2 linked regions of the Canis lupus familiaris genome follow. The protein of the gene in region 2 interacts with the protein of the main gene of each other region in a pairwise test. Links are inferred from orthologs where the notes say so. Each region holds a gene or a part of one and is shown on either strand. Other genes may lie near its edges.

Region 1 (3,984 bases), on a different chromosome or scaffold from region 2:
CAGGTTGGGTGCAGAGCTTACTTTAAAAATAAAATCTTTTAAAAACAGAAAAGGAGCAGCAGGGATATCTGAGTAGGAACTAATTTTTTAAGTGGTCAGATCATTTGTGAATATTTTCATGCCAGGATGACTCTTACTTTCTGGTCAACATTTTAACTTGGAGAACTAGGATAATACTCAGAGACACACCCAGCCACACTACAACTTCCTAACATACTATCCTCTAAACTGTGGAAGGCGCTTCACTCTCAATTCTAGTAAGGGGCTGTAATGAGAAGTGTTTTGCTGAAGTTGCATGTTTACTACTCTAACACCAAGGTCCCAGATCTCAATTCTACAAAATTTCCAAAACCAGAGTTCCTTACAGCCCGGTTCTTGGCCCTCTTCTTCTCTGTATTCTTGTTCTTTGAGTGATCTCATCCATCCCCATTCCTTAAAACAACAGCTACCTGCTCATAAGTCTCAAATACATATTTTTCAACCCAGATCTTTCCTCTGATCTCCACTTGACATCTCCCCTTATATATCCTCGTACACAGCTCATCCTTTGCAGCCAAAAATCTCATTCTCAAGTTCCCAAGTCTCCCTTTACCACTTAAAAAAAAGACGTCTGTTTTCCTCCCAAGTTTTCCCCAACTTAGTAACGGGCACTGCCTAGCTGCTCAAACCAGAAAGGTAGTCATCTCTCCTTTCTCTCACAAAGCTCCTATTTGAATTCCACCACAACATTCGATATGCCCACTCCCCTTTTCTTTAAACCGAACCAACTTCATTACCGAGCCTCTCTTAGTGTTCTACTGCAATCACCATCTAAACTATTTTCTATCAGTCTTGTCTCTCACACCATTCTCCACAAACAAGTTACTGTGTTTTTAAAAGAAATTATGTTCCTCCTGTACTCCTGCTCAATGGCTTCAGGGATCCCCAGGTGGCTCAGCAGTTTGGCACCTGCCTTCAGCCCAGGGCGTGATCCTGGAGTCCCAGGATTGAGTCTCACATCGGGCTCCCTGCATGGAGCCTGCTTCTCCCTCAGCCTGTGCCTCTGCCTCTCTGTCTCTCATGAATAAATAAATAAAATCTTTAAAAAATAAAATAAAATCTTTACCACGGCCTTCAAAGTCCTGTACCATCTGACTCCCACCGTCCCTTCCAATCTCTTAGGGCTCATTGCTTCTTGCTAAGCTGTAGCTGACTGACCTCTACGTTTTCCTTCCTCAGAGTCTTCATATTTGCTAGACACGCTTTACTCCTGATTAATTCCATGCAGGGATTCTTCTCATCTATCATATCTCAGCTTAGAAATCCAGAAAGACCCTCCCTGACCACTCTCTCTGAAGCCTCCTCCTTTAGTCTTTACCACAGACGCTGTTAATTTTTTTTCCAAGCGCTCATCATGATCTGTAATGCTTAGGTTAAAAAACAACAACAACAACAAAAACTTCTCTATCGTGTCTTTCCCAACAGAATGTAATCTCCATGAGGCCAGGAACGCAGTTGGCCTGGTTTCCAAGTCCATCATTCCCTCTCTAGGCATACTGGGGTCTGGCATAGGTTTTGCTGACTAGCACTCACTAAATTTTATAGACAGAAATAATTTTACGCCTATATGTACAAAATTAAGTAGGCATTTGATGACTGAGAACACCTTACCCAATACTTAATACAAGAAGTATCCTTTTATCCTACTTAGGATATGGCTGATGGAACCACACGGAACAGCAGCCCCAGGTTCACTCACTCACTATCCAAAAGCCACGATGAAAAAAAAAAAGCCAAACAACACACAACGAAGAGCGGAGTCCTTCTTACTTGGAGAAAGAGATGCGGGTATCTTGAATTTAAGCTCTCCTTTGTAAACGCCCCCGAAAGAGGAGTAAGGACCACAGCCGAAGCGCGGAGCAGGCTTTGGGCTCAGACAGAAAAGCCGGTCCGAGCAGGATTCCGAAAACTCTCACCTGGCTCCCCGCTCCGCCTCGGGTCCACGAAGGACCGGCAGCGCCCCCCGCAGCGCCCGCCCGCAGCCCCCTCCCGCGCCCCGACCCTGAGCCTGGAGTCTGCCCGCCGGCACCCGAAACGCAGAGCGGGGCACCACGGTTTAAAAAGAAAAAAAAAAAAAAAAAAGGAGGCAGCGCGCCCCGGTCCCCACGAGGCCGCGCCGCCCACCGTGCGGGCGGGGAGCTCCGCAGCACCAGAGCGGCGGCTGCTGCCGGCACCGAGGCTGTAGGTACCACACCGGAGGGTAGGCCGGGAAACGGCAGGCCCTTGCCGGGCACCGGGAGGGGTCTGTGGGATTTCTCTCTCACCGCCACCCCCCAGCGCTGCAGGGCGAGCGCATCCCCGCTCCGCCCGCCGGGCAGCCAGTCCCAGGCCGGCCGAGGGGGCATGGACCCGGGACCCCCGCTGCCTCCGCCTCCTTACCAGTGTGATCCATGATTCGGCTCGCGGGGCACAGTGGGAGCGGAAGTCAACCGCGCCGGAGTCGCAGGGCGCGCGTGCGCGCTCCCTTCCGGAGCCCGCGAGGCGGAAGTGCGACCGAGCTGCCTCGGCTTGGGCCTCCTCAGGTTCCCCTCTGTCGGGTGGGTGCACTACCCAACTCCGGTGAGGGCGTCTGGCATAGTTCGAGGGAGACAAAGGGGGGTACGCCAAGAGCTTCCAGGTCGAAGGTGCTAAGCCTTGACTACAGAAATGAGACCCGAGGGCACGGGGGAACGGGGAGAGCACCAGCAGCCGGTGGAACGAACTCGCGGCAGGTAAGGCGGCTGCTCGCCCCCGCGGAGCGTTGCCTTCTGGGACTTGTAGTGCGCGGCGGCCTCGGAGCCGGCCGGGCGCAACTGCGCAGACTCGGCCGTTGGGCTTGGCCCCACCCCGGCGGGCGGAGTAACGGTTTGGAATGGCCCGCAGTGCGCGCGCGCCGGCGTCCTCCGCGCGGGGCGGGGGGGGGGGGCGTGCGGGGAGCGGGGGGGGTGCGTAGCCGCGCGCGCTCCGGAAGGCGTCCTCGGCGGGAGGTTGCCCGGGGGACGGCCGCGCCGTGGGAGCGGGGAGGGCTCTCGGCGTGCGGTCTCCATCCCGCCCCGTCCTGGCGGGCCCCGCGGAGCGCACGTGGTACCGGCCCGTGCTCCCACCGAGGAGGTGTGGTAGCGGCGGAGACGCAGCAAGGCGCCCCGCGCGCCCCTCCGCGGGGTGGGGGTGGGGGCGGGGCGGGGCCGCCCGGCGGGGGAGCGGGGGAGCGCGGGGAGCGCGGGGCCCGGGGGGAGGGGCAGCGGGGCGGTACCTAGCTCCAGCTCCTGGTCGCCGGGGGTCGCGGCCGCGGCTGCCTTCATCGTCCCCGGCCAGCGCCGCGGAGTGGGTCCGGGGGCCCCTGAGCGAGGCGGCGGCGGCCTCGCCGACCGGGCTCCGGGTGTGCGCTCCCTTCTCCGACCCTTCGCACCTGGTGCTCTCGGAGGAGTGGGAAGGAGCGCACGATTAAGGAGAAAACACGAGCCTGGGAGCCCAGGGATTTGGGTTCTATTCCTGTCGTCCCTTGGTGACGACATCGTTACCTTGGGTGGTTCACGCTTTCCGTGCCAGAGTTCCTGGATCGATAGAAGAAGATGATGATGATGATTCTCCTGCCCTCCTCCCAGGAGCGTTCTCCGGCCCCGAATCCTGGAGGGAGCGCGTGCGGCGGTGCGCTGGGCCGGTAGTGCTGCAGCGACATCGGCGTGGAGTCCTCGGGAGCGGAACCTTGAGTGCTCCGCGCTCGCCGGTGGATGGAGGTTCTCCTGGGGCCTTTAAAGATTGTACTTGTTCATGAGACACAGAGAGAGAGACCTAGGCAGAGGGAGAAGCAGGCTCCCTGCAGGGGACCCCCCCACACACCCTAAGATCACGACCTGAGCCAAAGCAAAGGCAGATGCTCAACCACCCGAACCAGCCAGGTGCCCCTTCCTGGGGTCTTGAAATACACTTCCCCGCGGCATCTGAAGCTTCCTAAACAAGTTTTTC
Region 2 (3,509 bases):
CAATGACTCATTCACATCTTAAAGAGCACTGGGGTGGTTTCCACTTGTTCATTATTTCCATGAGTTTTATAAGTAAATGTCCCTGTCCTTGCCTTTATGTGCAAGTATATCCCTCAGCTAGATATTTAGAAACCATGTGGGAACTGTTCAAACCTGCTCTCTTCCTAGGATTGTGATAGATTCTCTTTCTCTTACCAACTCCCCAACTTCTGGAGGTAGTAACTCCAGGCTTGACGATCTGAAAACACAGCAGGGCAGGTAAGGCCATGATGGAGCTGGACAGGTGGCTGTTGAATGATGCAGCCTCCATCACATTGTGAATGTCCTTGGATAAGTCTGGCCTGTCGGTTAGAATCTGAAGCGTGCTCCTGCAGCTGTAATTTGAAAGCAGGTTAAAAGCAGAGAGCAAGGCAAATAAGGCCATGATGGGGTCTCAGTCACAGAATGCTTTTGCCTGAAGGGAAAGCTAGCCCCTGGCTTCAGCCACACCGGGTGGCTGTCTCTGGCTGCATGGGAACGCTCCAGCTTGGCCTGGAAATAAGTGGAGGAGATGTCACTTGAACATAGGTTGGTGCCTTTACTTTCTGTAAAGGAAGGGCCAAGGGAGTATTTTAGTTTTGTAGACCCATGTGGTCTTGATTGCCTTTGCACCCGAGCAGCAGCCATAGAGGGGTGCCTGGGTGGCTCAATTGGTTAATTGCTTTCAGCTCAGGTCATGTTCTCGGGGTTCTGGGATAGAGCCTTGTGTCGGGCTTCCTGCTGCTGGGGAGCCTGCTTTTCTCTTTCCTTCCCTCTCATACTCTCCCTTGCTCTTTCTCTCTCTCTCTTAAATAGATAACATTAAAAAAAAAAAAAAAAAAAAGGCAGCCAGACAATCTGTAAAAGGGGAATGAGCACAGCTGTGTTCCTAAATTGCTCTGAAAGTATTAGTTTGCTGACCCCTGACCTGATAATAATGACTAAGGTATGGTGGTGTCGAATTGTCATAAATAAATATATTTATTTTTAAATTTTTAAAAAAGATTTTAGGGGATCCCTGGGTGGCTCGGCAGTTTAGTGCCTGCCTTCGGCCCAGGGCGTGATCCTGGAGTCCTGGGATTGAGTCCCACATTGGGCTCCCTGCATGGAGCCTGCTTCTCCCTCTGCCTTGTTTCTTTCTCTGTCTCTGTCTCTGTCTCTGATGAATAAATAAATAAAATCTTAAAAAAAAAAAAAAGAAAAAAGCTCAACCCTTTGATAATGACCTTAAAGCCAAAGAAGTTCTGAAAAGGGAGAACTGGTAGGGGGGCAATGAGGAATTCTTAGAATGGTTAAAGTTTAATAGATGCATAAAGGTATGTGTAGAAGAGGGATGAGGATGTCCTTGGTATGAGAATAATTTGAATAATAATTAAAGTGGTGCCAGAGAGCAGCCCAATCTAAAGTGAAGATGACCTGGGATGGGGAGGGCTTCTGGTGATGGAGCCCTGAAGAGCCAAGCCAAGATTGGGATTTGGTCTGAGGGAGGCAGTAAAGCTTCATGAATGAATGTTTCTGAGCTATGGTATTTCCTTTTTTTTTTCCTTAGGTTCTCCAGTTGCTACTGGAACGGGAACTCTTCTACTGGTCCTCTCTGATGTGAATGACAATGGCCCCATTCCAGAACCTCGAAATATGGACTTCTGCCAGAAAAACCCACAGCCTCATGTCATCAACATCATTGATCCAGATCTTCCCCCCAACACATCTCCCTTCACAGCAGAACTAACACACGGCGCAAGTGTCAACTGGACCATCGAGTACAATGACCCAGGTGGGAATTGGAGTCTTACTTCAGAAACGTTGACCCCATGCTTTCCCTGCTTCCAACACCGTCCCCTTCTGAAATTCCCTTCTCAGCTCCCAGATGTCACCGCTTTTGTTTGATGTTTGTTTATTTGCCCCTTCTGCTTTCCAGGCATTCCACCAAATGTCCCTTTCCTTTCTGGTATCTGACTTGCAACATACTGCCCAGTAATCTGCAGCCCAAACAGTTCCTTTTTCTTTACCCCAGTATTTATTCTAGAATGAGATTTTTTTTTCTCCCCTTGTCCCATCATTTATTTTTGTTGGTTCCTCCAGCTCGTGAATCTCTAATTTTGAAGCCAAAGAAAACTTTAGAGTTGGGTGACTACAAAATAAATCTCAAGCTCACAGATAACCAGAACAAGGACCAGGTGACCACCCTAGATGTGTTTGTGTGCGACTGCGAAGGTGTCGTCAACAGCTGCAAGAGGACGGCGCCTTACGCCGAAGCAGGCTTGCAGGTTCCTGCCATCTTGGGCATTCTCGGAGGAATCCTCGCTCTACTAAGTATGTATGCTTGGCAAGTGTTGCAGCCTTTGGCTTCTAAAATAGGGGATCTTTATCCCTTACTGAACAGTTCAGAGATAAGTTGGCCAAGACTGGAAGGCAGCCTTACTCCATTAAATTTTAGCAGGAGCCCAGTCCTTCTGTTTTGTTCTTTCAGTCCCTCACAGCAGTTCTTCTCATGCTCAAATACCTACAAATCACCTGCATTAGGGTTCTTTTTTTTTTTTTTTTTTTTTTTTTTCCTTTTACCTGCATGAGAATTCAGATCCGGTGATCTGGGAGGTCTGGGGTGGGGGCCTCAGATTCCACATTTGTAACCAGCGCCCAGGGGGTGCAGATGTTGCTGGTCGTTGGGCCAACTTGGAACAGCAAGGCCTTGCAGCACTATCCTCACCTGAGCCCATGTACAAGCTGGTTCCTATGGTTGATGAAGACACAGAGAAGGCTTGATTGGACTGTGGAGGGCAAAGAGGAGGCCAACATGGCTGGAATAGAAGAAAGTTCTTAGAGGGAACAGTGGGACCAGCTTGGGATTTTGTTTTTGTTTTGTTTTTTAAGATTTTATTTATTTATTCATGAGAGACACACAGAGGCAGAGACACAGGCAGAGGGAGAAGCAGGCTCTGTAGGGAGCCTGGGATCCCTGGATCACAACTCAAGCCAAAGGCAGATGCCCAACCACTGAGTCACCCAGGCATCCCAGGAGGTTGGGTACTTCTAAGAAATTTTTTCTCCAAGTCTTGTTTCAATGCAATACTACTTCAGTAGTGTATCCTATAGAGATACTTGGGGGGCACAAACGCCTATAAAGAAAACACACTGAAGTTTAATACATTTTTCATTCATAAGAAATAGCTTTAAAAAATTTTAACAATTAGTTATTAATCACATGTATCCTCGAAATATCCCAAGGTCACATGAAAACTTTGGAAACCAGATTTTAGAGCTTGCTTACATGATTTTTGTCTTAAGAGAAAATAAGGAATATACAAGCTATCATATGATCTCTGTCACACTTCTTGGAACTGATTAAAAATAATTACGTATCTGTCAATCACATTTAGGCTGACCCAACCCTCCTCACAGACCTTCAGTGGTTCCAATTCAGAATCAAAGCCAAAGTCCTCCCAATAGTTACCACATTCCTGCCACCCCTCTGAACTCCTTTTCACTTTCCC

The links. The genes of interacting proteins can lie anywhere in the genome.
Region 1: the proteins of CDH1 (region 2) and CBLL1 interact in a two-hybrid assay, tested with the Homo sapiens proteins (2 studies listed by BioGRID, with this or other methods). The link is inferred for Canis lupus familiaris from reciprocal best matches to the Homo sapiens genes CDH1 and CBLL1.

What each region holds. Positions count from the first base shown.
Region 1 is NC_049239.1:13,103,210-13,107,193, forward strand, and holds the start of CBLL1 (E3 ubiquitin-protein ligase Hakai), read right to left. Parts: upstream 2,806-3,984; 5' UTR 2,432-2,805; coding exon 2,419-2,431; intron 2,292-2,418; exon of another isoform or gene 2,164-2,291; intron 1,974-2,163; exon of another isoform or gene 1,810-1,973; intron 1,783-1,809; exon of another isoform or gene 1,651-1,782; intron 1-1,650. UniProt on the Homo sapiens protein: E3 ubiquitin-protein ligase that mediates ubiquitination of several tyrosine-phosphorylated Src substrates, including CDH1, CTTN and DOK1. Targets CDH1 for endocytosis and degradation.
Region 2 is NC_049226.1:81,347,852-81,351,360, reverse strand, and holds part of CDH1 (cadherin-1 precursor), read left to right. Parts: intron 1-1,567; coding exon 1,568-1,792; intron 1,793-2,100; coding exon 2,101-2,331; intron 2,332-3,509.